Arabidopsis thaliana: one gene and its partners. The protein of the gene in region 1 purifies or fractionates together with the protein of each later gene. This does not show direct contact. Each region holds a gene or a part of one and is shown on either strand. Other genes may lie near its edges.

What was found.
Region 2: the proteins of AT1G49015 (region 1) and AT3G02200 fractionate together in Arabidopsis thaliana (co-fractionation; one large-scale study listed by BioGRID). This does not show direct contact.
Region 3: the proteins of AT1G49015 (region 1) and EIF3G2 fractionate together in Arabidopsis thaliana (co-fractionation; one large-scale study listed by BioGRID). This does not show direct contact.
Region 4: the proteins of AT1G49015 (region 1) and AT1G66070 fractionate together in Arabidopsis thaliana (co-fractionation; one large-scale study listed by BioGRID). This does not show direct contact.

Annotation. Positions count from the first base shown.
Region 1 is NC_003070.9:18,129,144-18,136,078, forward strand, and holds AT1G49015 (DPP6 N-terminal domain-like protein), read left to right. Parts: upstream 1-5,384; coding exon 5,385-5,434; intron 5,435-5,506; coding exon 5,507-5,558; intron 5,559-5,587; coding exon 5,588-6,169; downstream 6,170-6,935. Other genes in the region: AT1G49010 (Duplicated homeodomain-like superfamily protein), read left to right, coding at 3,571-3,995, 4,116-4,635.
Region 2 is NC_003074.8:403,409-412,136, forward strand, and holds AT3G02200 (Proteasome component (PCI) domain protein), read left to right. Parts: upstream 1-3,179; 5' UTR 3,180-3,283; coding exon 3,284-3,376; intron 3,377-3,652; coding exon 3,653-3,782; intron 3,783-3,872; coding exon 3,873-4,011; intron 4,012-4,094; coding exon 4,095-4,307; intron 4,308-4,426; coding exon 4,427-4,565; intron 4,566-4,660; coding exon 4,661-4,811; intron 4,812-4,883; coding exon 4,884-4,993; intron 4,994-5,071; coding exon 5,072-5,169; coding exon of another isoform or gene 5,170-5,173; intron 5,174-5,249; coding exon 5,250-5,319; intron 5,320-5,400; coding exon 5,401-5,511; 3' UTR 5,512-5,792; downstream 5,793-8,728. Other genes in the region: SP1L3 (SPIRAL1-like3), read left to right, coding at 1,581-1,850, 1,951-2,049; AT3G02190 (Ribosomal protein L39 family protein), read right to left, coding at 2,597-2,645, 2,738-2,841, 2,932-2,934; COBL1 (COBRA-like protein 1 precursor), read right to left, coding at 5,944-6,233, 6,320-6,600, 6,682-6,838, 6,933-7,389, 7,475-7,554, 7,977-8,070.
Region 3 is NC_003076.8:1,805,909-1,813,495, forward strand, and holds EIF3G2 (eukaryotic translation initiation factor 3G2), read left to right. Parts: upstream 1-2,202; 5' UTR 2,203-2,260; coding exon 2,261-2,591; intron 2,592-2,653; exon of another isoform or gene 2,654-2,808; intron 2,809-2,848; exon of another isoform or gene 2,849-3,003; intron 3,004-3,238; coding exon 3,239-3,834; 3' UTR 3,835-3,948; downstream 3,949-7,587. Other genes in the region: PRA1.A2 (prenylated RAB acceptor 1.A2), read left to right, coding at 41-127, 216-304, 397-468, 548-651; AT5G05990 (Mitochondrial glycoprotein family protein), read right to left, coding at 1,003-1,162, 1,239-1,615, 1,745-1,987; AT5G06010 (uncharacterized protein), read left to right, coding at 4,032-4,355; AT5G06020 (Plant self-incompatibility protein S1 family), read left to right, coding at 6,030-6,485.
Region 4 is NC_003070.9:24,592,757-24,601,368, reverse strand, and holds AT1G66070 (Translation initiation factor eIF3 subunit), read left to right. Parts: upstream 1-2,737; 5' UTR 2,738-3,002; intron 3,003-3,790; 5' UTR 3,791-3,848; coding exon 3,849-3,861; intron 3,862-4,059; coding exon 4,060-4,181; intron 4,182-4,308; coding exon 4,309-4,457; intron 4,458-4,580; coding exon 4,581-4,728; intron 4,729-4,819; coding exon 4,820-4,976; intron 4,977-5,083; coding exon 5,084-5,175; 3' UTR 5,176-5,560; downstream 5,561-8,612. Other genes in the region: AT1G66080 (hikeshi-like protein), read left to right, coding at 342-444, 544-1,013; AT1G66060 (hypothetical protein (DUF577)), read left to right, coding at 6,237-7,184.

The DNA of each region.
Region 1 (6,935 bases):
TTAATCTCGAAGAAATTACAGCTTGAGCGGAGTTTTATATAAGTGGGAATAATTAATAAAGTACATAGTAGTTTAATGAAAATTTCAAATTATGATATAGAGTAATACGTACTAATTTCATATTTGGCACATATGTATGGGGTTTGAGTATTGGATTTGTGAAAAAGGTATGAAAATGAGGGAAAGAAGAGAGTAAAAAAGGTTACTTTACGTTCAAGGAAGAATGGAGGTGGAGTGGTACCATTTTTAAAAAAAAAAGCCAAATAGTCAAAGTTTTGAATGTATTTGGTATGACCTACTGTTATTGGAGGTTGGGCACATTTTTTAACCTTACATCTTCAATTTATACTATACTTATTTGTTACATAAAATAAAGATTGTTTCGATATACGGGTTCGAAATAAGCCGAGAAATGCTCAAAATTAGTTTTTGTGCTACTTAGTAAATAGGACAAATTAGATTCGAATTAACTGAGCTGTCTAAATAAAGTTTGAGTAGTCCGACGTTTTGATATCGTCGCCATAATGCACGGTGGTAGTTGACTTGATGATGACTCTGATATTCCTTCTTTTTTTCCTTTCTTTTTGTTAGTTAATGACTTTGATATTCGGTTTATATTATTTAAGATTTCATTTCATCAAATATTAATTGAATGATGTTTAAGAAATTAGAGAGTTAAATATCTATTGCATATATGTCAGTAGAATACTACTTGTTTTATTTTCTTTGTCCTTTTTTGGTTGTTGGCAAAAATGGTTTTTCTTTGTTCGTTTGTAATAATCTCAATAGTAACAATATATATACTAGTAATTATCAAATCCATATAGTGATATACGCGAAGCAAATGAATCAGCGGTAGATGAAATCTCTCGTTTGAATATTTGATATTTGACTAAGATTGCGGGGATACATATAGTACGCATGCATGGATGTGAAAAACACGCAAATGTCGCGTTGCACCGGACATTTTCTTAAATTGCACTCTAACATTCTCATATCCTAAACTTTAGGCCTTATTTTCTTATTAGAGTATGTATTTACAATATTTACTTGATTATTCTCATAATTGACATATTGAAATTTGAAGCCCACAAAAAACAAAGCTTCTATAGTTCTTCTTCCGTACATTACGTTAATTTGATTCATTCCCAGCTGTAACACAATGATATATATTCGGAACTATATAGTATAATCATCCGTACAATATTGGATTATAATTTAACACATACTGTCTATGGGCCTATAAAGGCGGATAGGCCTGGACACGAAGCAAATATCCGGAAAAATTGTGATATTTGTTATTTGATTCGTTTTAATCGAATACTTGATTTTATGATTTGCTTTGATTCGAAACTTTCCGGATATCCGGAATTTTGAATATCCGAATTTTTTTGTGATATTTGCGGATATCTACTTTGATACGTATAAATATTAAAAAAATATGTAAACTATATAAGCATATCAGATATTCAAAATTTTTATTTAACATACTTTCAAAATAAGTTATAAATACCAAATATAACCTTTGTTGTTATTACCGGTCAACAAAAATGTTATCAAACTAATTCCAAAAACTAAAATCCGATAGTTTAATTTTGATGTCATTGATCAAAACACAACATAAAAAAAATGATAAAACAAACATCTTAACATAAAAACATAAGGTAGCAACAATACACAAACTATTTATGATATCTACATATAGATATAACTATATATTCTAATATATATCAAAAGATACGGATCAAAGCGGATATTCGATTTTAAAAAAGACAATATTTGCTATTTGATTCGGTTTTTACGAATACTACATTTTCATATTTGCTTTGGTCCAAAATCTTACGGATATTCGGATTTTTTGAATCAAATCAAATCGAATACCGAATCGAAGCGGATCGAACGAATATTTTACCCAGCCCCAATAAAGGCTATAACACACCTTGAGAAAGTTCAAATTCCTCAAGACATAGAAAGTAGCTAAAATATTCAAGAAACGTCTCCAACAAAAGCCCAAATATTAACAACTGGAAATATAAAAGGTTGTCTACAAAAAGCTAGCCAGCAATTTTTCAATGAATTAAGTACCCGTTAAGTTGATTTTTTCACATATTTTGATTCATTTACACTTTTTTGTTGTTGTCTTATAGAAAGTAAAGTATCCGATTCATTTAGACTTTTAAGTGTCCATATATATATGGTGTGAGATCTCACAATTCAAAAAAAACTTATTATTGAAGTGAAAGATGGTAAGAACTTTAACAAAAAAAAAAAGAAAAAAAAAAAAAGATCGTACCTTAGTGACTTGGGTGGGGTGACATACGCAGGGAAGCCTAACAGTCAAGCTCCTTATCGCGAAAGGCCCATTACCTTCCAAAGACAAATTCTGGATCAGATGACCATTATATATACGAGCTTATTTGGAAGAAAATCTTCATTCAACAACCCATCTATTAATTTCCACCTATTATTTAAAAGAGAGATGAGAAATGACGTAAAAAAAAAAAAAAAAACGTTTTTCTAGCTCTAGAAATTTATAGATGGGTTGTTGAATGAAGATTTATCATTTTATGTATTCGATACTATGTTAAATAAATTTCTTTAATCGAGTTTGTTTTCATGCATGTTCTATTAACAAGTATGTAGATCTTGGAAAAAGAAAATATTTTGATCTTGATAAAATTCTTTTTCAAATCTCGATTAGTTTATTGTTTTTCCGAATTTTGCATTTATACTATTTATGTGATGTTCGTTTGTTAGTCGTTGGCGACCGCGACCAAATGTTGTTCGTATGGAAGTCGCTGGATATAGCGACCTGCGATTATAATTTTTGGTCGCTATTTATCTTTACGACTGATTATAAAACGCGATGTCTGAATTCAGTAAACTCGGCGACGGTATTGTTTTACATTCTTTTACATTTTAAAACTCTATTATTTACATTCTCTATTAATTATAATGATGCTCACTAATATAAAGTTTTAAAATGTGATCAATTGTTTCAAACTGCATTTGTCTTAACAAAATTCAAAAAAAAAATATAAATTTTTTGAAATAAATGTTTTATAAATATCAAAAGGTAAAGCTACACTAATCTTTTGCATTGTATTCGAGTAATATAAATCGAAATGACCAAAGTCTCTAAAGAATGAATAAGGATCAAATTTCAAAGAAAAGTGAAGAGTAATCGTCAACTACAAGAATCTTATCCTATGCGTACTCTTTCCTTATGAGTGACACAATAGAAAACAAACCCAACTGATTGATCCTTGTGAATAAGATAAAGTCCCAATCAACCTCTTACTTATCCTGCGCATATGCACTGTCCTCTATACTATCATGCGCATATACAAATGTCCATTCTTATCATGCGCATATACAAATGTCCATTCTTATCATGCGCACCTCAACTTAATACCAAACAAAAAAAAAAGTTTCACAAAACTCCAAAAGGTAAAGAATCTGACCCATTCACATATGCGTTTCAAAAACACTATCATGTCCACCACACGATTAAACCAAAGAGAAGAGAGAGAGAGAGAGAAACAGAGAAGAAAAGATTGAAGCAATCGAATGGAGAGTGTGGTGGCAACATGGAGCAGAGAAGAAGAGAAAGCATTCGAGAACGCAATTGCGTTGCATTGTGTAGAGGAAGAGATAACAGAGGATCAATGGAACAAAATGTCGTCAATGGTACCAAGCAAAGCCTTAGAAGAAGTAAAGAAACATTACCAAATCCTTTTAGAAGATGTCAAAGCAATCGAGAATGGTCAAGTTCCTTTACCTCGTTATCATCACCGCAAAGGTCTCATCGTAGATGAAGCAGCAGCAGCAGCTACTTCTCCTGCCAACAGAGACTCTCATTCCTCTGGATCATCTGAGAAGAAACCAAATCCTGGCACCTCCGGGATAAGTAGCTCCAATGGAGGAAGAAGTGGTGGCTCGAGAGCTGAGCAAGAGAGAAGAAAAGGGATTCCATGGACTGAAGAAGAGCATCGGTTTCTTCTTCTTCTCCTTCATCTCCATCATCTATCCATTGATATTATTTAGACTTAAAAGAGTGAAAAAAGATTTGGAAGATTCTTTACCTTTATTGAATACTCTGTTTTGTTTGGAAGGTTGTTTCTTTTGGGTTTGGACAAGTTTGGGAAAGGAGATTGGAGAAGCATTTCAAGGAACTTTGTGATCTCAAGAACTCCAACACAAGTTGCAAGTCATGCTCAAAAATACTTCATCAGGCTTAACTCGATGAACCGAGATAGAAGGCGGTCTAGCATTCACGACATCACCACTGTGAACAATCAAGCTCCTGCGGTTACAGGAGGAGGACAACAACCGCAAGTGGTTAAACATAGACCAGCTCAGCCACAACCACAGCCACAACCGCAACCACAACAACATCATCCCCCAACAATGGCTGGATTAGGGATGTATGGTGGTGCGCCAGTGGGACAACCGATCATCGCACCACCTGATCATATGGGTTCAGCTGTTGGAACACCTGTGATGCTTCCACCTCCAATGGGAACTCATCATCATCACCATCACCATCATCTTGGAGTTGCTCCTTATGCTGTACCGGCTTATCCGGTACCGCCATTACCGCAGCAACATCCAGCTCCGTCGACAATGCACTGACTGAAAACAATACAGTTGGTATTAAAACTGACATATATTGTACTGAAAACTTGTGTACATTCTCAAATCGAATAGCGAAACTGCGGCAAATAATAATGTACAGCAGAGGAATCTGTTTTTCCATTTCAAATCTATGATTTTCTTCTCAATATATTTCTTGAAACAAAGGCCTATAGGAGGATTTCATATTCAGACAGTAGAGAGAAAGTTGAATAGAAGTATACATAGATACAACAAACAAAACATATTAAAGAGTCATAGACCAAGTGTTGACTAGAAAATTTCACCAAAAAATACTAAAAGTAGCGTAGCATGTTACTATGTAGCTGCCAAAATTGAAGTTTTATAATCTAAGAGGTGAGATAATGGGGTCTCAAGTTTATACTTATCAGAGAAGATCTCTTGTAACTGAAAATAGGCATGATGAAACCAATTGAGCAATTTGTTTGCAAAATACATAACAAAAACGTAGAAGCACAGGCCAACCTGATCTCTTATTCCAGGGAAAAAAAGTAACCAAGTCCAAAAATATGATAAGAAGAGAAGTAAAGATTCAATAATGTAAAATTCTTACAAGAGGTTAAGAATGGTAAAAACTTTTCAAGTGCCAAACTGGTGACAGACGAGAGATTCCATAGATCATCGTTGCTTCTCTACTTCCAATCTCATTTTGATGCAAAGTATTCTTATTTGCATCCAAATTGCAGGAACCCTGGTTAAGAATCTTTGATGTGAGAACTGGGAGAATAATGGCTGGAGTAGATGGTCATGTTGTTGACAACTCATGGCCTATAATTAGGTACTTTCTTGAATTTCCTTTGAATAGAATTCTTAATACATTCATTGACATAACCTCTCTTTTTTTCCTTAGATGGGCTGGGGGAAAAGATGATAAATACTTTGCCACACTTATCAAAAACACTGTATCTGTTTATGAGACTAAGACTTTCAGACTGCTACGCAAGAAGGCGCGGCTGTGAATTTTGATGATGTTGTGGGCATGTCTTGGTCTCCTACTGAACCAATCCTTTCACTGTTGAAAGGGGATGTCAAGAACCAGCCTAAAAAGGTTGTTTTTCTGCAAATACCGGGCTATGTGGAGCTGATGCACAAGGATATTCTCAGCGTTAGCGACTGTAAGATGTACTGGCAGAGCAAAGGAAAGTATCTTGCTGTCCAAGTTACTCGACATACGTGCTCTCTGTTTGAGCTTTTCCGCTTCAATAAGGTACAAGGCATTACCACCGAGGCTCTTGAAGTGGATGAGAAAATCCTTGCTTTCGCGTGGGAGCCGAGCGGTCACAGGTTTGCCGTGATTCACGGAGATCAATCAAAGCCAAATGTCAGTTTCTATTCTATGGAGACACCCCAAAACCCTGGAAAAGTTTCAAAGCTAGCTACCTTTGACGACAAGGAAGCTGATGCTCTCTTCTGGTCGCCAAGAGGCAAGCACATCGTTCTCGCTGGTTTGAAAGCTGCTTCAATGGCCATCTCGAGTTTTTCGACGTGGATAAGCTTGAGATGTAGTAGGTAGTAGGTATACAGTCATGAGCATGAGCAAGCTCTTGACAAGATATATGACCAGACGAGGAGTGACCGTAGTGTTGCGAAGTCATCTTACTGTTTGTTTTCAATAAATGCATCTCCAGTGAGACAATGAAAAAAAACAGATGCCAAAATCCCTCGTCAATGAACCAACAAGAGTATTAAGGGAAATTAACTTACTTTGAGTTGATTAAAAGTTTAAACTCAAACAACGCGTTTGGGCCTCTTACGGCCCACAATGATTTCAGCTGCTTCAAAAAAGTTGGGAAAAAAACGCCGTTGCCGGGGATCGAACCCGGGTCACCCGCGTGACAGGCGGGAATACTTACCACTATACTACAACGACTTTGATGTTCCTTGATCCTTCACTAAGGATATTCAACTTTTTAACTTCTTGCAGTTATTCATTGATGGATTTTAATAGAATTGAAATTCAACAATAATGTACTGTTATTCATCTAATGATTCTAAATCCAGCTTTAAAATCTAGTGTTACTGGAGCTTATCTTTTTAAATCATGCTTAATAGATTTTAAAGTTTGTTGTTATTCAATTAAGATTTTAAATAGTTTATTAAAATTCAGTGTTATTCAAAACTAAAAGACTTGTAAAATATTTGTATATTAATTTATTTGAAATGAAACACTTTTGGAGTTTCATGAGTAAATCATTAGAATCAAAATCCAAGATATACTCCAGAGATTTTGAAATCCAAGCAAACATATTCTTAAAAGCAATATGCCAATATCAGGAAGT
Region 2 (8,728 bases), on another chromosome or scaffold:
CATCGGTCTTTAATTGACGTTGGTCTTAGTTAACACCAAAACGTAAATGTTAAGGTTTATGATTTCGAGCTCAAGAATATTTGGTAACAAAGAGACTGACTCATATTTTATATATATTATTTGGTTCCAATATACGTACTAATACTATTCTCCTATATATTTCGTTAGGTTCCAATATACCAGAAGAAAAATCTTATTGAGTTGCGTCAATCAGATGGGCCTTAACTCTCTAAACCCATAAGGTCTCTCAAGTTCATGTACCTTGGAGTTTGTTAAAATCTCATTTTCTCGAAATTTCCTTAAAATAATACTTTTGTTCAACACATGGGAAAAAGAATGTAACCATAATATGAAAAGAATAAAATGCACAATTACACAGCAAAATGTGGGGTACTGCAATTACAAAAGATGAAGTATGGAAACCATGTAAGAGTATCATATACTTTCTCTGCCGATAACAAGTGCTAGAACTTTTTTTTTTCTTTTTTTCTTATCTTCTTATTATCCTTGCCAATAAAATTGATAATCAATGTCATGTAATGAAAGAAACAGAAGATTTTTCTTTTGACTTTTTAACATTTTAAATATTGAATGTTCTTCCCTAGCCCACACTACACATTGAACATGCTTTGAAAAAAAAAAAACTATGACTAAAGATCACAAACTTATTAGTAACAGATTGTTTTTTTTTTTCGTTGGCAAGCAACTATTCTGCCTTAAAAGCGTTTTTGTAAACTAAACTTTCATTCCTAATTGATGATGATATTCACATTCACGTATATATAAAATATGTAAACGATATAGGAATCACACTTTAACAAAAAAAATTGTACTAATTAAAAATAGAAGAAGAACTGGCGCAAAATGTAAAAGCAAAAGAGAGATTCAAAGGGAGATTTGAGACTTCAGTTTCATGTGTCGTCATTGCCATCTTTCAACATCACCTAAAATCTTCAGAGAAGTCAACGAGGAAATCTCGTCCGTAGGATGATGAAATCGTACAAACTCTGATGATGCATGATCCTCAAAGTCATGGGTTCACACAATGTGGTTAAGTTTCTTCTTTCGTGTCAGAAATTATCAAATGAAAATGCGTCTCATTATTCTCGCCTACTTTTGCTTCTTCTTAGAAATTGCCTCCTCCATGCATGTTATTTCAAAAAAGTTCTTCGTCATGCATGTCTATAGAATTACATAAGCCCAAAATTATTCCTACAACCTATGAAACTTTGTTCTATGTCTATGGAATTACCAAAAGCCCAAATCAAAGCCCGTATAAGCCCATTCGAGATACTTTTTGTGTTCCTCATTTTCCTCTCGGTGCATATCCATATTCCATCTGTTTCTCTTCCTTGATTATCGGCCAATCATAGAACAAGAAGTAGAGAAAGCAGAAGATACACTACAGAGACAGAGAGAGGTAAATAAAAATCAATCCTTTAGATCTCTCTTATTACGTGTCTTTAATGATTCAATGATAATCTTTTTTGGGATCTTCTTGCTCACATTTAACTGATCTGATCTGATCTGATAAATAAACAAACTTAATAAAACATTTTCAAAATTCAGATCTTGACAAGATGGGTAAAGCAAGAGGAGTGAACAATGGCGTGAATGAAAGTTCTCTCGGTTATCTTTTTGGTTCCGGCCAGCCTTCTTCCGCTGCTGCTGCCACAATGGGGACTACTACTACTACAACCACCACAACTACCACCGATGGGACCGGAGGCAGACCGATAACCACCACGACGACCACAGTCACTGATAACAAGAAGACATCTGCAGGTGTTAGAGGAAGTCCTAATAATTACTTCAGATCAGAAGGCCAAAACTGTGGAAACTTTCTCACGGTAACAGGAGATCTTTAGTCTTTACAAAGTTTTGAGATCAAAGAATTGACTTTTGATTTGGAAACTGATAAAAACCAAAAATGTTTGTTGATGAGAACAGGACAGGCCATCTACTAAGGTTCATGCAGCTCCTGGTGGAGGATCTTCTCTTGATTATCTGTTTGGAGGACCAAGTCCTGCTGGATCTGGAAACAAATGAAGTTACTTGTAGTTTTTTTCCCACTATTCAGATTCGTGTAAATCATCAAAAGTGTTGGCTTTTATCCCTTAGTGAACCCTGTGTGATTCAATTGTGATGTTTGCCTTTTGTTCTCTTCTTTGTCTTGTTAAAAGGAATTTTCAGACAATGTTCTCTTTAAGAGTTCCAAGAAAATAAACTAAGTACTGATCAACCAAGAGATCTATATCAAATGAAACAAACAATGCCCACAAGATCTTGCGTTGAATCAGCCATGTTCAAAGCTCTGATCAATCGTAGGAGAAATGATTCGAATTCAGCCATATACTTACGTTTTATCATAGAGTAGAAAGAAACAGAGTCAAATCAACGACCAATTGTAGGAGAAAGGATTCAACTATTATAATTCATAATCATGCACTCTTCTTCAAGTTCTAAGATTTAAACATAGCTATAAGCCACAAAATCCTTAACAAAAAACTAAAACTTTTAGGGGTCAAAGACCACAATTCCGATACAAGAAAGCAATTAAGAAACTCGGACGAATCTGAGTCACGGTGAGAGTGCTCTAGAATCCTAGCTTGGTACGGCGCCAGTGCCTACGCTTAGCGTTGTACCTGTGTGAAGGTGATGGAACAATGGAACTCAGTATCAAAGTCTGCAACTTTTTCACGGATCGAATGAAAAAAGTTTACGAAAATCTATAAACCTGATTTTGTTATCAGTACGGAGACGGATCCAATTAGGGATCGGTCTGTTCTGTCTCATCTTCTTCCCTAGCTTCTTTTTGATCATGAACGACTTGTGCGACGGCTAATATCAGAGACCATGAAATCGATCAGGCGAAGGAAATATTTAAGAGAGATAGAACAAAGGATACAGAGAGGGAGAGAGTAAAAGTACCATCTTGACTTCAACGGTGGCGATCCGGCGGAACACGGCAGCGTTTAAACCCTAATCTTCTCAAATGTTAACTGAGGAAGAAATCGATTTTTATAAGGGTTGTGGACTAGAGCTCAATCCTGACCGTTGGAGTTTTCTCATAATTTATTAGCCGTCAGATAGGTAAACCGTTAATTTAGGAATCGTATTCGGTTCCGGTTACCTTTAACCGGAAAAGAAAAAAATATAGAGATTTAGGGTTTCATTTTCTTCTCTCTCTCTTGTCTCTGCTGGTCGGCTGCTGAAACAAGTTGTAATTGTGGTGCATTTGTTCTTCAGCGCAGCCGAGAAGATTCGAAACCGGAGCTAAGCTATGACGACGATTGTTCCCACCTCCGAAGAAAATCCCTTTCTCGCTGTTGTCCGATTCACTTCCCAGCTCGCCTGGGCCGATGCTGGTCCCGAGGTAACCTCCACACCTTGGTTGTGAATTTATAGTGGGAATTTAAGAATGTCTATCTTAAGTGAGATGGGAAATTTGATCTGGTATATGTTGTTTCGTTCGAAGAATCTGATTGGTTATGGAAGGGTTTGTTGATAGTTTCTGGACTAGAATAGTTTGTAATCTTTGAGGATTCTGATGCATCCGATTAGTTCAACCATCTAAGATTAGTTTCATTAAGCGACTTCTTAAGTTTTCAAGGCTTGCCTGTACTTAACTAGTTATCGTTTCAAATTTTAGGCAGCAGAGCCAGAAATTACCAGGCTCTGTAGGGAGGCTGAGGAGTCAATGGTAGCAGAGAAGTGGCTTGAATTGTCTTCGTTAATGGTCACTTCAGCTGAATTGGTATCTTCTAAGATATCTGAGAAAGGTTTGTGTTCCTATTCTTACTTATACCTGTTTATTTTGTATGTCTTTCGAGTATTCAATTCTCAGTGATTTGCATCTTTTTTTAATTCAGATCTTGAGTGTACCTACACCATCATTTGCAGCATTGTCAAGAATGCGAAAAGCCCTGAGCAAGTCCTTGAAATGGTGAAAGCTATAGCTTCCAAGGTTGCTCAACAACCCAGTGACAAAGCTTCACTTCGTTTGAAGATGTATGAATCGTTTCTGCTTATTTCTGAATGCTTTGCTCATTTATCACACTTCTCATTTTTTTTTTGTCTTAATCTTTGTGTAGCCTCTTCAATCTCTATAACCTGGTTGACCACCCGTATGCTCGATTTCAAGTATACATGAAAGCTCTTACACTAGCTGTTGATGGGAAGGTTACTGAGTACATAGTTTCTTCTTTTAAGAAGATCGATAACTTTCTGAAAGAGTGGAATATTGACATTAAAGATCAGAGGGAACTCTTTCTTGCCATTGCTAATGTGCTGAAAGAAAACAAAAGGTATTGAAACATAATTTATACTTTATAACTATGCTCATCAGTCATTCTCTGTCTCTTTCTTTTTTTGTTTCCGTTTGGGTATAACAATAGCCTCATGGTTTTTTCTATTAATACTCCAGCTTGGTGAATGAATCCCTTAAGTTCTTGACGAAGTACCTAGCAACTTTCTCCAATGAGGATGCTCAGGTCCTGGATGAAGCCAAGGAGGAGGCTGTGCGTGCAGTTATCGAATTTGTCAAAGCTTCCAGTATTTTCCAGGTATCATAATGTGAATTGGATTTGTCTTTCTTGTCCTGACACTGCTCTTTTATATTTGATTGGAATTTCAACGATGGCAATCTTAAATCTTGCAGTGTGATTTATTGGACTTGCCAGCCGTAGCACAATTGGAAAAGGATGCTAAATATGCACCTGTTTACCAACTTCTGAAGATTTTTCTTACTCAGAGGTTAAATGCCTACACGGAATTCCAAAATGCAAATTCGGGATTTCTGCAAAGCTATGGTACTACATTGTTAACTCACTAACTGTTTTTGCTGAAATATGATCTCCTGATGAATCCTGTGGTGTTTCTAGGACTTTCCAATGAAGATTGTGTTACGAAGATGAGGTTGTTGTCACTAGTGGATTTGGCCTCAGATGAATCTGGCAAAATACCTTACACCTCGATTAAAGACACTCTTCAGGTAAAAACTCTCCTCTGCTTGCACTTAACATGAAATATTGAGACCCTTTTAGTTTCTCATTTTTCTTTTCGTTTTCAGGTAAATGAACAGGATGTCGAGTTATGGATCGTGAAGGCAATAACTGCAAAACTGATTGAGTGTAAGATGGATCAGATGAACCAAGTTTTAATTGTCAGGCAAGTCACACATCTATTGAAACTCTGCACTTATCTAAACGCAACATTCATTATTTGATGGTTTGATTCATATCTTACAGCCGCTCTTCCGAACGTGAATTTGGGACAAAGCAATGGCAATCTCTCCGAACAAAGCTTGCGACTTGGAAGGTAACTACAAAAGCTTTCACTTATTACAGAATTTTATTACAAAACATCTCCTGAATCTGATTCTTATGTGTGGTTGTGTAGGACAACATTTCAAGTATCATAACTACCATCGAATCGAATAAGGTAACGGAGGAAGGTTCTCAGGCATCATCATCATCTGCTGCAGCTATTCAAGGCTTGAGTGTTCGTTGAAAAAGCTATCAAGAAAAACCGTTTCATCCCCAGAGAAGCTCAATTCTATAACGAATCTTTTGTCTTCCTTAAAGCTTTTTCTCTGTGTATTTGGCTGCAGGGTTTTTTTGATCTTTGAATCTTTTTTTTGTCCCTGAAACATATGCGGAGACTTTTCCTATACATTATTTTTTGCTAGTAATGTTTCTTAACTTGATGCTACACACTATTTCAAAAGTTTATACTGAATATCTTTTACTTCCCAACATGGAGATAGAGAACAAAGAAGTGGTAGCCATTTTCAAGGGGATCTAGTTAACCATCTAATATTAAAGCGTTGTACAGGAAGAGGACAGACAAGAGAGAACACAAAAAACTAAGCTACCAACTCTCTCTTGATGGGTTATATCAGTTCGAAAAACTGCAGCAGAAGAATTCTACACTTGATGATTCTTACAAGTTTCCATGTAGGAACACAATCAGTAACAAGGCCATTGCTGCAAACAGGGAACCGACTGATTTGTGCGAGCCGGTATTGGGCAGCCAAGGGTAAGAATCAGGAGGAGGCATCACACAGTTATCTCCATTGAAATAGATTCTTCTTGGAAACGCCCAACCTTTCTCAAATGTGAAAGCTGATGCTTCTTTCTGGAAAAGTAGCTCAGATTGTACATTACCAAATGGCCCAGCTTGCATCAACAGATCATTGTAGAACTTTATTCCCCAGAGAATCCCAGTATCATCTATATCAAATCAAAAACAAAAAAAACACATCAAGATTTGTTCCTTTCTATAGAAACAAGGGACTGATAGATGATGGTGTACTTACTTATGGAAGCATAAGGAGTCAGAGGTTTATAGTTGAAGCTAAAAGTCTGAGTTAGATTGTCGAAATTCGGATGCTGCACGACGAGATTCCACTGTGAATAGTTCATGTTGTAGTTGAAATTTGTGATGGTGACTTTAACTCTCCAGTACTGTTTGTAGTTGACTTTCACATGCCAGTGGATTCTAACTGGACACATATGCTTTGTACATTGGACCAGAGGCGGTATATATGCGTTCTTCCCCGGATTTGGAATGACTGATGCTATCCGTGGACCTTTTGGGCTGTGTGGACAGACAAGACACCAAAATTAACCAAACAAGTTAACATATTTTCAGGTAATGAAAGTTATGAGAAGAACTTACTCTACACAATTCCCTGGCTGAGAAGTGTTTCTGCATCCACAAGAGCATGTTGGACAAGAAACTATTGTCTTGTTATAAAACGATGAAAGAGATACACAGCAAGTTGGTGTTTTCTGAGCTAAGAACTGCGAGTATGTGCAAGTTACATTCCAAGTCACTGTCACAGCAGAAAAAGAAAAGCCAAAACTCAGTTTTCATTTCACTCAAAAGTCAAATTTGTTTTGGTAGAGTTCAAGAACTGAGTAACTTACTTAATGCTTGAGTAACTCTTCGTTTATCAGTACCGATGAATCTAGTCGGTTTTACAATCTTCGCGGGGCTACAAGTATATCCCGGTCCAGGAGCTTTGAGAGTGAAATTCTTAGGTACCCTAACTGTCTTATTTGTGGTTCCAGCTTGTCCAACAGTAAGCTGGAAAGCGGAAACAGCAGTTGCGGGATCTTGAGCCCACGAGTTAAGCACACCCCCTCTGCAACAATTAGCAATCTGCTGATTGTAAGGAGATCCAGGTAAGAGATCAACAACAGAAGGTGTCTTTTTACAGCAATGAGGAATGGTTCCTTTGAATTTAGAACAATCTCCTTGTTCTGTGGTTTGTCCTCCATTCATTCCCCATATAACCTCTCTCTTTGCCCATGACCATCCAAGAGTCCAACCTGGAGCTTGAATGTGTCGATATTGCTGAAAATTATATACCGTTACAGTCGCCTGCACCGCGAGAAGATTCAAGATTTTAAAAATCACTATCAAGATTCAAGAAATTCCCAAATTTGAAGCTAATGTAAATAGATACCACATAGCCATCTCCAGTCCAGGTTATGATATCCCATTTGACAGTAATGTTCCCACTCGGGTCCAAAGGATCATAAGCTTCTGAAACAATCCCAAAAGCAACACCATGAGCACACAAAATACTGAAGCTTTTTTTTGTTTTCTTATCTCATAGATTCTCTCTTTCTATAATAACAGAGCATTGAAGATGAAAATGTCAAAAAGATCTTCTCTTTTGAGGATAAGAAGCTCCTTCAAAACAATTATACGGCTTAACATACAAAATAACTTTCTTCTCTCTTTCCCTATGTACCCAAAAGCTCAAGCAATTGCAAGATCCAAACTTAAAGAACTCAATAAACACAAGCTCCTAGCAAATAATTTTAAAATATGCACATAACTAAAACATGGGGAACAAAGAAGGAAAGTTGCACTCAGAATCATTGACGAAATAAAACCCTAGCAAGTAAAATACGGTAATGAACAGAGAAAAGCTTGAATAAAGATAGAATCTTTCGGCTTACCTGAAGGAGTTAAACCAGAGAAAGAAACTAGAAAGATTATAGAGATTCCGAACTTGAAGAAGATTGAAGAAGAGGAACACAAGAAAAACCCCATTTTTTCTGAAGCAAAAAAAGAGAGAGAAACGCCTCTTCTTCTTTAATCTTCTGTCTCTGACAAGTGACAAGACAAGGATGAAGACTGAAGAAGCTCGACGTAATATACAGAAACTTAAGCCAAAGTGATTAATAACAATGAAAAGATTATAGTAACAAGAAATGACGAATTAGCTTCGAAATCTTTGTGATTAATCTTCAAAGTATAATGAGTTTTTAAAAAAAGAACTCATAATTGTTCATTGAAAATGGAGACATCCAGCTTTTTGGGTTTTTGTGTGCAGAGAGATTAATGAAAGCCAAAAGAAGGCTGCTTTAGTGGGGGATGAGATGGGTTTTTTCGTGCCAAGTGTTATAATTTGACTTAATGCACAAGCATTAATGCACTTAGCTAGCAATTCTTTTTTTCAATTTCAAACATTCTTATTCACATTTATAGTTTACTTATATTCGCATTTACTATTTAGTAATCCAAAGACTTTTTGAAAGTCTCTAGAGAATACTACTACTAGACTAGACAATTAGGTGTTGTTAAAGTGGGCCGATAAAGAACGACTGTTAGGCCCGTTTAAGCCCGTCCCATACAAGAAAACAGAACAAAATTTATAGTATTCTTTGCTAGTCTTGCATTGCAGGTGACCAAGTAAAAGTTTTATCAA
Region 3 (7,587 bases), on another chromosome or scaffold:
GTTTTTCAAACTTAACGGGGTTAAATGTTGTCTTTTGCAGTTTTGCAGCTAGTTTTAATGAGAAGTTTATAAGAACGATTAGGCATTTCTCCCCACACATGGCTGCAAAAATGAGACCTCCCCACATGTGAGTTCCATATTAATTAGGTTCATGGAAGATATAAATAGGGTTCGTAGTTACATTTGTAATTTTATTTAATATGTGATCACTGCAGGCCTGTCATCCGTGGAAGATCGACAGCAAGAAAGACAGTATACGTTTGTGGGAAACCGCGATGGGTATTCGTTATTACTTTCCTTACAGGTACTTGAATACTCATAATTCCTCTTTATGTAGTTAATGTAATATTGGTGTTAAAAACTGATCAATGTGTTAATTTTCTCATGTATATATAGCCAGTCTTGTCATGTGGTTTTCTTCCTGCGGTTTGTTGTGGGTCCTCTATGCACTTCTCACTTCCCTTGCTGGTAAAGTTATTCCTCCTGTTTGATCATAGATGTCCTTTGATGGAGTTTATGTTTTGACCTTAACATTTTTTCTCCACAGTGATCATTGTTCATGCAAGCATAAGAACCCCAAATCTCAAGGCACGCTTAAACACATTCCGTGAAGAATTCCGGGCTGTCTGGCGTAACTACAGTGAACTTTAAGTCACAGGTCGCGCTACACAATCTAGAAACAAACAAAACAGTCATCTGACAAGTGAGGGGATGCTTTCCCTCAACCATGTTCGCAGTTTATTCTTATGATGGCAGATGTAGCTCTATTTTTACATGGTTAAGATGGTTATTGGCAGTTCGATAGCAGACAGAATAGATTCACTTGAAATAGTGGACATACTTGACCAAGTTACTTCTAATTGGTGTAGTGATGTTTATACTTTTCTCACTGTCTCACAATACTCTTTTTTTATATAAATAGATCCAAACATAATTGAATGGTGTTTCAAGTACAAAATTTGGAAGACAAAGAGCATCGGAAAATAACATTGTTTTCTTATTTCAATACTTGACAAAGTTCTTGAGAGATTTCAACCACAGTAAGTGCTCTCTACTATCCTTGTTGATCATGTACTCGTGCAAGAAGTTGATCATGCTCGGCTTTATCCCTCTAATCTCAATGTACCTATGGAAAGCCTTCCTTAGCTTTTCATCCAAAACCCTGCAGAAAGAAACCATCAAAGATCATCGCTTTGATTCTGGTAACATCAAAAGCTTAAAACTTTTTCTTCTATTACCTGAAGGAAGGTCCTTCATAAGCAAGCTCATCTTTGGAAGGATCATCAGGAAATGTAACCCACATGTCCTTGATCGCAATCCTGTCTGGAAAAGCAGTACATCTAAATTCCAAACTTGGTCCTGTCTTCTTGGAAAGAGTTACTAAGAGAGGCACATTCGATTGCTTAGGCTTCAATGGCTTATCCTCATCTTCATCTTCTTCATTCTCTGCTTCTTCCTCATCATCTTCATCATCTTCTTTGTCACCAGTCACAAGATTAGTCATGTGTACTTCAACTTTAACAGTCTCTCCTTCATATTCTCTAGTCAATGTCACAATCTTCCCTCCTGGTTTGTCTTCCATTTCGAAAGGGAAGCCACTTGGAGTTTCTTCAACCTTTATTCAAACAAAAGAAGAAACAGAGAGATTACACACCATTGCCATTGAAACAGAGCTTCACGAAACACATAAATCTTAATAAACAAAATTTGCAGAAACTAAAACATGAAAATGGTAAGGATTTACTCGATGATAATCATCAGCTTTCTCGGCGTATCCAATCTCCTCTTCAATGATTCGAAGAAGCGGATCAGTTGGAGAAGCTCTCTTTTTGGTCGATGTGGTAAATGGAACATTCCGGTCAACCGACGGCGTCAGATGTCGCCTCCGGCCAGAAGCGGACTGGTCCAACAATGAGTAAACGAAAGAACGGTTTTTCCAATAACTTCCCACAAACCGAGAAGCTGCGCGACGTACAAGAGTCGCCATTTTTTTTGTGTTGAAGCTCAAATTGGAAGAGTGAGGGTTTTTATTTCCCTTTAGGGTTTAATATAGCAAATTACAAATTTAGCGGGACTTAAATTAAAAATCACAGAAAATCAGGACCGGCTAAAAATACGGGCCAATATGGGCCTAGTGGCCCATTACGACATTAAGAGACCGTTTCCATAATCCGAAACCCTAGTTTGCTTCTGTCTTTAGTTGTTGCCTTTTAAACTAAACTAACGAACTTAATAAGCGGCATATCTAAATCTGAGAAAAATGGCGATTGATACGATACAAAAAACAAAAAAGCTTCGGTGGGGAGAAATTGACGAAGAAGAAGGCGACTATGATTTCCTTCTTCCGCCTAAGCAGATGATTAGTCCGGACCAGAACGGTGTAAAGAAGGTGATTGAGTACAAATTCAACGAAGAGGACAAAAAGGTCAAAATCACTACCACGACCCGTGTTCAGAAGCGAGCTCTCACCAAACAAGCCGTGGAGCGACGGAGCTGGAATAAGTTCGGAGACGCAGCTCATGAAGAATCCAGTAGTTACCTCACAATGCGTTCAACAGAGGATATCATCTTGGAACGAATTAGAGCTCCTGGTAAAATCTTCAACTTTGCATTTTAGTTTGTTAGGATTCGTTGTTATTATGCTCTGTTTTGATTAGGGTGGCTAATTAGCCAGTCACATGTTAGCTTTATGGCTACTGTTTGTGTGAATGGTCAGTAAGCACACCTATAGCAATGTCGTTGGTGATTCGTTTCAACACTAGAACAGGATTTAACCCAGTTTTTGGTTATGGATCATCAACTATATCTTTGGTTCAAGTTTTTTTTTTGTAACTGTGTAACATAACAAAGGTGCCCAATTAGCCGATCACATATTAGCCATATATGGCTGCTTCTTTCTGTGATTGGTCAGTATGTCACCAATATAAGTATCTTGTTGGTAGCCTTTTCTGAATGTGGACAAATTCTGTGTTCTCTTTTCTAGGCTATTAACTGTACACATTCAAGTATTCATTTTTACATAAGTTTCTTTATAGGTGGACACGTTAGTCAGCCATATTGTTCTATATGTGGGTGGCCGTAATGCCCACCTAGATGTTTTGTTGGTGGCTTCTTGCACGAAAGTAGATTTCTGCTTTCACTTTATAGCTGCCAACTACATTTTTAGTTTTTGCATTACCATCTTAAAGGGTAGTATTATTTTGAGGTTTTAAGATGTTTATTCTTTTGAATATCTCAGGTAGCAACGCGGAACAGTCGACCGTATCAGGAGATAGCATGTCTCAGTTGGGCAAACCGGGTGCGGTCCTCATGGTCTGCAGGTTATGCCAAAAGAAAGGTGACCACTGGACATCAAGATGCCCACAGAAGGATCTCTTATCCTTAATGGACGAGCCTTTAACAGCAGAAACTTCTACATCGACCATAACTGGAACTGGCAGGGCGGCTTATGTCCCGCCAAGCATGAGAGAAGGTGCAGACAGAAAAGCTGGTGGTTCAGACATGAGGAGTAGACATGATGAGAACTCTGTCCGTGTGACTAATTTGTCTGAAGATACCCGTGGACCAGATTTGATGGAGTTGTTTCGTCCGTTTGGTGCTGTAACCCGTTGTCATGTAGCCATTGATCAGAAGACAAGCATGAGCAGAGGATTTGGTTTTGTCAGTTTTGTGAGCAGGGAAGATGCACAGCGAGCAATCAACAAATTGAATGGCTATGGTTATGATAACCTCATTCTTAGGGTTGAATGGTCCACTCCTAAAACCCAATTAGATCCGTTTTCATTCGCTGATTATAATAATCTTTGTAAGTTGTTGAATATATGTCATTCATGATTATAAGTTCTCGCGATACATAGTAATTCATGTTGGGGTCTCGTATGCAAGTTCCTACTAAATGTATTTCGGTTGAATACGTGCAAAAAAAGTAATAAAACTCTCTTTATTACGGCAAGCATGTTACTTAGAAATGATCATAAGGGAAGGACCAAGTAAGGGCAATTAATCAAGTGAATATCATCAAATTCAAAGAGATGGGAAACAAGGACTCGAAAGGCTCTTCTTCTTCAACCAATCCGAAAGAGGAGATTGCTGCTGTACCTCAGCCTCAACAGTCACCACCGCAATTGATCCGAAAATCGCAACCACAGCAGCCATTACCACCACCTTCGTCTGAGATGCCTCTTCTCTATCCGTGTTACAAAAAAGAAGACTATGAGAAAATGAGCGAAGAGACAATCGATATGCTCTTAGCGACTTACGGAATCATGACAGTCCCTGGCGATTTAGCTGACAAGAGAAAGTTTGCTTTTGAAACCTTTCGTTGGGATCATAAGAACAATCACCCCAAAGCTTAGCAACTACTTGTCTAGTATAATGAAACTAACGTTTTATGATTGGACCTAAACACATTCATAATTCGTTCATTAACACAAGAAAATATAAATCAAAATGCTAGTACTTGTACAATATCGAATATTTTAATCACTTTAACATCTCTTGAACAAGTTTCAGAAAAAATTGTTAAGACTAAAAGGCCCTAATTTTACCAAAATAATTATATTTTATTTTGAGTTTTGCCAAAGGTCCAAAAATGAATTGAGCCGGAACTGTATCCAATATGGAACATAGTTTTTACAAAATTATAGTTTTACAAAATTTAAACTATATCCAACATGGAACAAAGTTTAAACCCGCGGGCCTAATGGGTTTTATAAAATTTAAACGGATAGCCGGTTTTAGAAATCATAGTTTTTTTTTTTTTTGACAAAGTTTTTTTCTTTAAACTTGTTAATCTGAGACAATTTAATTCTTTGAAGAATATATGAAAACACTAAATTAATCATGAACTTTTACTATACTAAAAAAATAAAGAGATCTTCAATCTTCAATGGTGGAAACTGAAAAGTCTTTTTTTTTACTTTAAAATTTAATTTAATTAGTTAAGTAAAGAATAAATAAAAATACCAAATAAAAATCGTGAACTTTATTTTTAATGTTATAGTTTGATATCCACTGTTAAAACATGAAAAAGATTGTACCAAAACCCATAGTTTCTATGAAATAATATCAAAACGGGCCTAAAAGGATTTAAATGGATCAATGCAAATTTAATGGATTTAAAGAGCAAAACTTAACGGAAATGGGCTTTAATAGGCTTAAATATTTTTTGGTTAAACGGGCCGGGCTTAAACGGGCCGATCTGCCTGTTATAACATCACTAAACAAAATTATGGACTGCAACAACAATAATGTCTTCTTTTGCTTAGAAGCGATTTGAAACTTTTTAAGTAGTTATGATGTATTTATTTTCTGTAGATTGCTTTGATCTATTTTTTGTAATTTTTGTAATTCTGTCAAAAATAAAATAGTATAAAATTTAACCTTTTACTAAAAAGAAAAAAAACAAGATCTTGTGAGATAAAAGTATTAAAAAAAGTCTCATACAAAAAAAAAATTAAACTAAAAGTTTGTGTCAGACTTAATTAAGGCAATGTGGTGCTCACTTGAAGAAACTAAATCCTATTTTAATTAATAAAAGCAAATAAATAAACTAAGATGGATGTAGTATGCCACACGTCCAATACCAATGTTTATCTTTGTAATATAAGGATTCTATGATTTTGGTTATTTTTAAAAATGTATATCTTTATAAATCAATTTAAAATCTCTTGAGGTTTTGCTAATTTAGGTTATTATAAGTAAATAAATATAACTATTTTTAAGCTACTATGTTACTATTTTTTATTTTCCTTATTAGTGAAATTTGTAGGATTTTCACACATGTTAAGAAAACATATTAAAAAAAAATATTTTTGTGATTTACAATTTGCAATAACTCTAAATTAATAGTACTCAAATATGTTTTTTTCAAAATTTATAACTCATCAATAATAACTAATAAATATTGCATAGAAAACTTAAAATATTTTTTTGGAAACTAATTTTTTTTTTAGAAAATAAAATAATAAGGAACAAAGAGAGTATAAATTATGAACTATTGAAGATAATGATATCAATAACACATCATAATGATAAACAGCTCATCTAAAAAAAATCTCATATCCACCTTCTCCTCAATGTTTACAATCTGTATAGTGATGATATTTGTGACATGCTATGAAACGTTTCAACAAGATGGAGAACCATTTCCAATTAGAGGTCCTCTTACGAGGATCACGGTTAAAAACAATAACGATTATTTGCTTGGAATCCACTGTAAATCTAAAGATGATGATCTCGGTTTCCATATTCACAAAGAGGGTGAATTATATGGTTGGAAATTTCATGTAAATTTTCAGAATTCAACACTATATTTCTGTGGATTTAGCCAAGGACAAGATAATAAAGGCGTGTTCGACATAGACAGGGCGGAAAGAGATTTTTATAGATGTAGAAATTGTACATGGAATGCAAAAAAAGATAGTCTATATGGTTATAGCAACTTGCCTCAAACAGTTACATGGTTTTTTAAGTGGTTAAAATAGTACTAAATTGAATTATCATTGCAAATATAAATAAAATAATCTTTTAAGAACTGTATAAAATTTGCATATTATGTTGTTAACCTAAAATAAAAACTTGTTGTCGAGCATATTAGAGCAAGTTTTAGTAAGAGAGCAAATAAGAGATGTGAGCCTTTAAAAGTATAAACTTTAAGAAGTGTCAATGGCTGTTTAACAAATCAGAAAACAAATAGTTAAGGATAGACTGAAAACAACTGATTTTCTTATATTTTCCTTCTGATTTTCTTATATTTTCCTTAATTATTTTTTATTTATATTTTTCTATATTTCTTTCTGATTTTCTTATATTTTCCTTCTGATTTTTCATATTGTTCTTCTGATTTTCTTATATTTTCCTTCTTTTTTTATATATTTTTTTTATAGACTTCATAGCCAAACACTATATGTACATATGTAATCTTTTATCTGCTTATAGAAAACTGAACAATTTGGACCTAGTTGAAAAAAACAAAATTTTAAACAGGAAAGCCAAACATTACCGAACGATTACTCGAACCGATTATCTAACTTTGGTTACATTGGTTTTGAATGTGATTTTGGGTTGTTTAAAAGGATATTGAGTTGGGACCGGGCATATTCCCGCCAGATAATTCTGAAGAATGTATTAAGAGCCTTCAGGATGTGATCTTCTTCTTAAAATTCTTTCCACAATCTTTTCTGCAATGATTTTATGACGGTGGCCGGAGATATTTTACCGGAGTTCCTGGAAGTAAAGAATTTACAAACTTTGAAGAAACTCATTACATTTTTTTTTCCTCTATGTAATCAGTGTTTGAGAGAGATAGAGAAACTATCTTTTGCTAGATAAGTTTCATGTGTTTGTTGGTTAAGCTCATATTATTTATATTTTTCTTGAATATTTCTTCTGTTTACTTATACGACATAAATTACATATGTACTTATAGTGTTTTCTAGAATCATTTACACAAGTGTTAGAAATCAATGTTATTATTTACACATGCATGCTGGAATCTAGCTAAAATATGTTTGTAACCTAAACTGTTTTTTATTATCAATGAAATAATTACAATTTAGTAAATAGAAATATGTATATACATATATA
Region 4 (8,612 bases), 6.5 Mb from region 1:
AAATCCACATAAGTTTTTTTTTCTTTTTCAACATCTTTATTGTAATGGTTCAACTGTTGAATTTCTTATTTATTGAACACCTCTATTGTACATGATTTTAGGTAGAAAAATGAAATTTCCAAAAAATAAAATAACGTTAATCTTTTCCGCGGTCACACAAAAAAAAGTCTTCGTGCGGAGTACATAGCTCTTTCTCAAATCTTCTAGAACCATCTTCAAATTCTTCACCCTCTCTCTTTCAATCATCTACATCACTCCATCACTCCATCACCAACATAAACTAAAACTTCACTCACATTAAAAAAAAATCAAAACCTTTCAAAAAAACCAAAAACTCAACAATGTTCGGAGTCGTCTTCCCCAATCGAAGTTTCCCAATAGACATCTCAACCTTCACTCAAATCGACACATTCCACTGGGTTCTCGACATGAACCACTTCGTCGGTAAGTACCCATCTCCCCAAAAACCAAACTTTTCAAAACCCTAATTCCCAAAATCAAAAACCCTAATCGAAAAATCCAACCTTTTTTCTTTTTTTACAGGTGAAGCTTATGATCAAATCTCAGAGATGTGTATCTTCTTGTTAAACAATTTCAATCTTCCACCAGATAAAGCTTTAGCTGTTTATGTTCAATCTCCAGGATCAGCTTTTGTGTTCTGTGGTGCTGTAACTTTAGCTAGACCTTCTGCTGTTTTATCACTTCAATGGCCTGAACCTGGTAGTGCAGCGAAGATGCAACTCACGGCGGGTGATTCGAGTTCCTTATCGGCGAAGATCGGTGTTTCGGTGGAGGATGTAGCAGCGTTGAGGTCGTTGGATGTTGTTGCGGAGAGGAGGATTGAGAAATTGGCTATGAAAGTTGGAGAGAATTTGTTTAACTTTATGCAGTCTTTTTGTGGTGTTGATGGAAGTAAATTGGTTGTTCCTATGGATATTTTGGATCGTTGGTTTAAGAAGTTTCAGGAGAAAGCTAAACGTGATCCTGATTTCCTCAAAAGCTTTGCTTTGTAAGGTTAGCGTTTTTGTAACATTTGATCTTGTGGTTCTATGTGATGAATTGAACAAGAGATTGTAGTTTTACTTTGTTTGTCAATGTTTATTAACTAGTTGATCATACTCTGCTTTTAAGCAATTTAAAGTGTTGAACTTTATATCTTGTTGGTTTGAGGTAGATGAAAAGGTGAAGATTTAATCTGTCTTGTGTTGAGGAATGAATTTTGATTCTTAGTTTTTGATTAGCTCACTTTGGTATACTGTGTGGTTGAATCCATTTGATCTTGGGTTATATATGATGAATTGGAGGAGAGATTGTAGTTTTACTTAGTTTGCTAGTGAGATAATATGAGGGTTATGAATATTTTGGTTTCAGTGTTCTTCTTGCTTACATATGAATCACAGTTTTAGTAGGTGGAATGGTGGATACTGTTTCGTATCTATTGTTCATAAGTTTATACTCTGCTGTTAGAAATTTAAAGTGATGAACTTTCTCTTGTTGTTTTGAGGATTGAGGTAGATGAAAGGGTTAAGATTAAATCTGTTCATGTTTTTATGATGAATCTAAGACAACATTTTAGTTTACTTAGTTTGCCAATGAGAAAATGTGAGAGATATGCATAATTGCTTTCCATGTTCATATTTTTTTCTTCGGTTAATTTAGTGCAATTCAACAGAGGAAGGTTTGACATTTTTTGGTCTAGTAATATATGATTCAGTATTTGGTCAGAGGATAGTTTAACAGTTTCAGTGTTCTAACTCACATTATAAATCATAGTTTTGGTAAGTGGATGCTGTTTCAGATTCTGGTCATGTTCATAGGCTCAATCAACCTTTGATCTTAGCAATATAAAGTGTTGAGCTTTATATCTTGTTGAATCGAGGTAGATGAAAAGTGAAGATTTAATCCATCTTGTGTTGAGGAATGAATCTTGATTCCTAGTTTTTGAGAAGCTTCAGTTTCTTACAGTGTGTACTGTGTGGTTTTACCCGTTTGATCTTAGGTTCTATATGATAAATGGAAGAAGAGATTGTAGTTTATTATAATTTAATCTTATGTTCTATATTTGTTTTCAACGGTTAATTCAATATTTTGTGAGAACTATATGAGTAGTTGCAAAATATGAATCACATATACATTGAGTGGATACTGTTTCAGATTTGGTCATGGTCATAAGCTCAAATGTAGCTCTTAAGTAATTTAAAGTGATGAACTTTATTTTTGTTGCTTAGAGGTGGATGAAAGGTGATGATTTAACTCAGCTTGTGTGTGAGGAATGAATCTTGAATCTTGAATCTTGATTCTTGTCCACTATATCACAGTAGATCGTTAATACATTGATCTAATCGATTGAAGTTGTTGTTTGATATGGTTCTAGATTGGCTTACCAACGGCTTCAATATTCAATGGACCTAAACAATTTGTAGAGTCAAGAAGCTTACAAATATTCGGGATAATCTGACTTGGATGGACAACTCTAGTTGTCTGATACATACGATGAATCAAAATCAAAGCCTTTAACTTAAACTTCAATCTCGAATACATAAGTATTTTCTACAATCGATTGCACACATGTGAGAATACCCTTCAACCCTCATTTGCAAAAAGTACTTAATACTTGGTCAGCAAATTCAAATCATTGTGCAAAAACTCCAAAAAAAAATGATTAAAAACGGAATAAAAAAATGGAGAGTGTAAGATGGAAAAAGTTACATGTTGGGGCCACGGTGATCGGTTCGACCGTATCAGTCTAACCGAAATTGACCAAACAACTTTGGTCTATACTTTGATCGGTTCGACATGTTGGGGCCACGGTGGAAAGGCTTTATAAAAAGGCATAAAATCTAACGAAAAACAAAAGGAAACACACAAAAGCCCTAAATCTCTTTTTAACCTCTGAAGCAAAAACCACCACATCGGAGATTTCTAATCCAACGAAAACGCTTCAATTTTCTTGCGATTTCTCTTCCTCTGCGAAAAACCCTTTTGGATTCAGACTTTCCTCGGTATGTTTTCTTATCAAAGGGTTTTCCTTTCTCAGTTAAATTCGCTTCTAGATCTTAATTTTCGATTGATTCTCTGGTGGGTTTCTATAGAATTGCTCCAAATTATGATTTTGATTTGATTTGATTTCTTAATGTTGGGTTCTCGAATTCATGGTTAATGATTCAAACTTTATCATCAAAACTTCTCTGTGTGTAGTGTAGATTACTATGACCAATTCGTTACTTTTTCTCTGCTCTTTGTTTGCATGATGATGTTCAAGTTGAATCCTTTTTTTATTGAAACAAGGACTTCTTAAGGTTTTAACCATTTTGATTGATTTCGATTGAGGAATTCATATCGATGTTGCAAATCCATAGGATTGGATTACCAAAATCAGAAGGAAATTATTAGTTATGTGTTTAAGATTCTTGTGTTTTGGGGACTGTTTTTGTTTGGTATCTCTCTAAGAGTTCATGGAACTTGTGTTCAGGTTTAGATAGCTGACATGCCTGTAATAGTTTTAATTGATATAAGATATCTTGTCTTTTGTAAGCATTAGATTTAGCTGTTTTTCCTGGGTGTGAAATATTAGGCCTATGTGTTTTTGTTAGCTGTGAAACCTTGATTTGTAAAGTAATAGTATCAGTATTCTCTGTCTATGATGTGAAGTTAGCAAGCTTACTACAAGTAGTTTAAGCATATTTACACATGGGGATCAGTGTATTTGATTATGTGGATTGAATGATTGATCAGTAATGTAGTTTGATCAAATAAGCGTGTTTCTGATGCTTACGCGTATGTTTGGCAGGTTTACCAGTTGGACTCAGATAGAAGCTTATATCTGTACCTGATAATTTGCAGCAAATATGGATGACTGGGGTAAGACTATGCTTTAAGTGTCCTCTCTTATATTCTCTATTTGTATCTAATTATAGTCTTCTTATTTATTTATAGTATTTGATTGGATATGCAAGCAATTTTGGATTATTTGCTAATCTGATGGGTTTCATATTTGATATTTCAAAATCGTATCACTAGCATGTGAGTAGTCTTATAATTTTTATTTTCTGATTCCAGAGGACGAGAAAATTGCACCACTTCCAGCAAAAGTTGAGCTTAAAAGTAACTGGGATGATGAAGATGTGGATGAGAATGAAATTAAGGATTCATGGGAGGATGATGATGATGAACCTGCTCAGGTATAGCTTAGTTTTTACTCTCTGTAATTCTTTCCCTATTGGCTAGTGGCTACTACGTATAATTTGGTTTGAGATTCCAACGGGAATATTTATGTTTTGTCTGCTTTGCCTTGTTGTTTTTCTGTAGCCGCCTGTTATAAATCCTGCTCCGGAGAAGGCTCCTAAGAAAGCAGCCCCCAAAACTGTTGAAAAGAAGGGTAAAGCAGTCGAAGTTCCAAAGGAAGCACCAAAAGAAAAACCTCTAGATCCTATAGCGGAGAAACTTCGCCAGCAGAGGTACAGTTTGTAAATAATATCTTTCCCACACATAATAATTCACTTTAATCTTTTGTACTTTGTGTATGGAAGAAGGCTGTGAAGGTCTATGTGACCTTATATGTTATATTCTTTCTATCACAGGCTTGTTGAGGAAGCCGACTACCGGGCAACTGCTGAGCTCTTTGGAGTGAAGGATGATGACAAAAACCTTGATATGTTTATCCCCAAGTCTGAAAGCGATTTTTTGGAATATGCTGAAATGATTTCTCATAGGATTAAACCATATGAGGTATGTTGTATTCTGCCTTATATACCTTTATTCTCATTGGCTAGTATTGAAGCTCATGATGTGTGAAAATATAGTTTGGTTTCTGTTGCAGAAAAGTTATCACTATATAGCGCTGCTCAAAACAATCATGAGACTTTCATTGACCAACATGAAAGCAGCTGATGTTAAAGATGTTGCTTCGTCCATTACAACGATAGCAAATGAAAAACTAAAGGCAGAGAAAGAAGCTGCTGCGGGAAAAAAGAAAGGTATTATTCTGAATGTGTTACTCACAATCACTTCATCTTTGGTTTATAGTTTTATGAATGTGTTATTCTGAATCCGTTTTTCATGACCATTGGCATTGCTTGATCAGGTGGAAAGAAGAAACAACTTATTGTAGATAAGGCCAATGACGATCTAGTGGCTGGTCCTTATGATGCCATGGATGACTTCGACTTCATGTAGATTAAAAGAGCTTTTTGAGCAAATGCAAATTGGATTTGTCCAGCGTCTATTTTATCATTTATCTATCACTCAAAAGAAACACATTTTTCTTAATTTTGGTTTGAATAGAGCAAGAAGAGCCAAATTTCTGGTTGCGGAAATATATAGTTGGAACATGGGAAGCTTTTGTTTTGGTTTGGTCTGGGAATTCTCTAGAGTCATGTTTTTGGTTCTATTTGTTGGTTGAAAAAGCTATACTTAAAGTGTCCGTATAAATTTATTATTGACATTGATCTGATTAAATCTCTTTGGGGGTTGAATTTCTTATAGACATGAGTGCGTTTCATGTTGTCCAATCTTTAAATACTGCCTCTTGAGTAAGAGAGAAAATGTTGATTCGTTACAATTCGCTAATGTTAGTAGTAAACCTTGAAACACGCTAATATCATCATGACTTTACATTAGCTAATAACATAAAGATGTGAATGGGAATGACATAAAGAATTCATGGGAGGATGATGATGAGTTTTTAACTAAGGAACTCTAATTCCTTACTAGTTAATTTCCAACAACAACACAGTGACTGTATTGTTTAATCTTCTTAATTGGTGGTTGAGTTGCTTCTTCTTCTTCTTCGGACTCTGTGTTGTTTCCTCCGGAAGACATTGTGTCAACAACTTCAGCCTCTTCCACATTCTCTTTTAGGAGAAAGATTAGTGGGATTGATTAAAGAAAGTAATCATATGAATTGATTGATATAATTCTCTGTAATGTAGACTCTTAAATATGTTACAATATCTACTCTCTAAGATATTCTTTTTATAAGAATCTTTTAAAACTTCAAGAAGATTCATTTAATGATTTCCAGTAATGGTGAAGAAAAATATCCAACTAAAAACAAAAAAAAGCAGAAAAATATCCTATCCTATCATTATCCTAATTTTAGAAAAAAATAAATAAAAAAAAAAGTTTAACAAACCTAATTTAATCGTGCGTAGATATATCTAAAGCAGTGATATACTTTTCTTCTTCAACCGTTTTATAGACTCTATTGATCTCCCGGAACTTTCTGTTACCTTCCCATGGATAATCAGAAGTCGCCGAAGCAACCAACCTCCCAAGACTTCACCAAAGCCGCCTTCAAGCTTCTTGCGAATCCCCACGTTGAACCGACGGTGGAATTCATCGCCGCCCTCACAAAGCCACCGGAGAATCCAGAAGATAAAGACATCAAGTTCTTCCGTTTCTGCGTCGCCAATTACCCGGGATGCTTCTCCCTCAAGCTCATGCGTGTCTATTCCTCGAATGATCCACGAGTCCCATACCAGATCAGAGAGATTGCGATGATATTACTCCACGTTATCTTCATCATAGAAGAAGCCTCTTTGAATTTGGCAGTGGTTCACATACTTTCGCCTATACTCATATCATGCCTTGAAGAACAAGTTATCTCGAACAACAGTTTAAAGATTCTTTCCATGCTCGTGAACCGTGTCGCTTTCGAGATATTCACCATTCAGGAAGAAACGTGGTATGACCTGCGTGAGTTTATCTCGTCTAAAGCGGAATCAGAGTTTGCGAAAGCGGTTTCCGTGTTCAAGAGCTTGTCGATGCCTTTGGATGGAGAGGAGTTTTTGATTCCTCTCATGGATAATCTTCTTCCAGCGATCTTAAAACGTTTAGGTAACAAAGAGGAAGAGAGTTCGAGCCAGTGGGGTTTGGCCTTTGTGGGTGGTTTCTGTGCGGCGGTTCACTTGTTGGAGACGACACGTGTTGATTTGGTGGAGAATCTTGCGAATGAGATGTTGAAATCGGTGAAGAGAGGAATGGAATTAGGGTTTCTTGGGAAAGCTCTTAGGGAAGTTGAAACCGCTGTAGTGGAACAATTATGGTGGTATTGTACTACAGAATTCAGATTCGTATTGGGTTTGATTAGTAGGATTGATGCGATTGTCACTGAGGAGACAGCGAAGAATGTGTTGCAAAGGATTAAGATAGTTGTGAAGAAGAAGATGCTTGAATATGTTTAAGAGATTGGTAAATGGTGACGAAGATTGGCTTAATGAGAGCCATTGAATTTGGATGCTTCTTGCCCAAGTAAACAAATTCTTAGGGAATGTTTTGGTTTTGAATTGTGTAGTTTGGGTGTTTATACTTTATATTTTGGTGTTACGTACGAGTGGATTAAATCAAACAGAGTTTTTGGATTTATAGTTTTTTGCATCTTTGGTCATTTACTGGAAAAACTTTAAGCTTTAAATTTTTTACTTTGAGATAATATATCATTATTTCTTTGTGTTCATGGGTAATTTCACCATTGACTAGTTACTTTTTGTCAACAGACCGTTTGATACCTCTAAATAAACATGTGAAACAAGTTACTCTGCGCTAGATCATATTCATGTGATCTTTTTTTCTTTGTAGGAGACGAGAACTTCTACATGAAAACTTAAACGCTATTAAAATCTTGCAAAACACCTCTTTTTCGAGTTAGAAAAAAAAATAGAGTTTTTGGATTAATAGTTTTTTGCATCTTTGGTCATCTACTAATATTGGGAAAACTTTAAGCTTTAGATTTCTTATTCTGAGATTGAGATCCAAGGAAGAATCATATATATGAAAGTTGGCCAATTCTCTTCATATGATTGACACATTATCACTAGCATTTACCATGTGTTTATTAAAGAATTAATGTAAGCTCTTTAACTTTTAATTTATAGGTTAATGATATATTTATTATTGAATTTATGCCGTGATTGGTAACTAAGGTTATTTAGTTTTTTTATTTTTTAATACATGAGACTTTTAGGACTTTGACTTGCATAGTCTGGTTTTTTTTTTTTTTTTTGAAATAGACTTTTAGGACCAAATTATTTTGGAATCTTTGGTTGATGATAATTTTCTTTTACGATTGGTCATTTACTAATCATGAGCAAATAGTCACATTTTTCTTTTCCTTTTCCTTTTGAGTTCACATTTTTCATTTACTAATAAAAAAGTCTTTTCCTTTTGAGTTCACATTTTTGAAAGTCTTGACACCATTCAAATGTATAGAGTATATACTATGAATGAGAATGTTGTGATATATTGAGAAAGAAGCTAAGCTCTCTTATATACAAGTTCTTACAAAGTAATTAATATTCTTTACAATCAATGAGAGAGATTAGTGGGATTGATTGAAGAAAGTAATCATATGGATGGATTGATATGATTCTCTGTTATATAGAATCTTAAATATGTTTCACTATGTACTCTCTAAGATATTTCATCCACTTTGGTAACTATCTTTTAATAAGAATCTTCTAAAACTTCAAGAAGATTCATTTAAAGATTCCAGTAATGGTGTGTATAGTAAAATCTCTGTAATATCAGAACAATGACAGTTCATTAACTTCTCGATAATATTAGTTTATAGAGAATTTGTTGTGGTCACTCTCACTGACCACGAAATTTTAGAG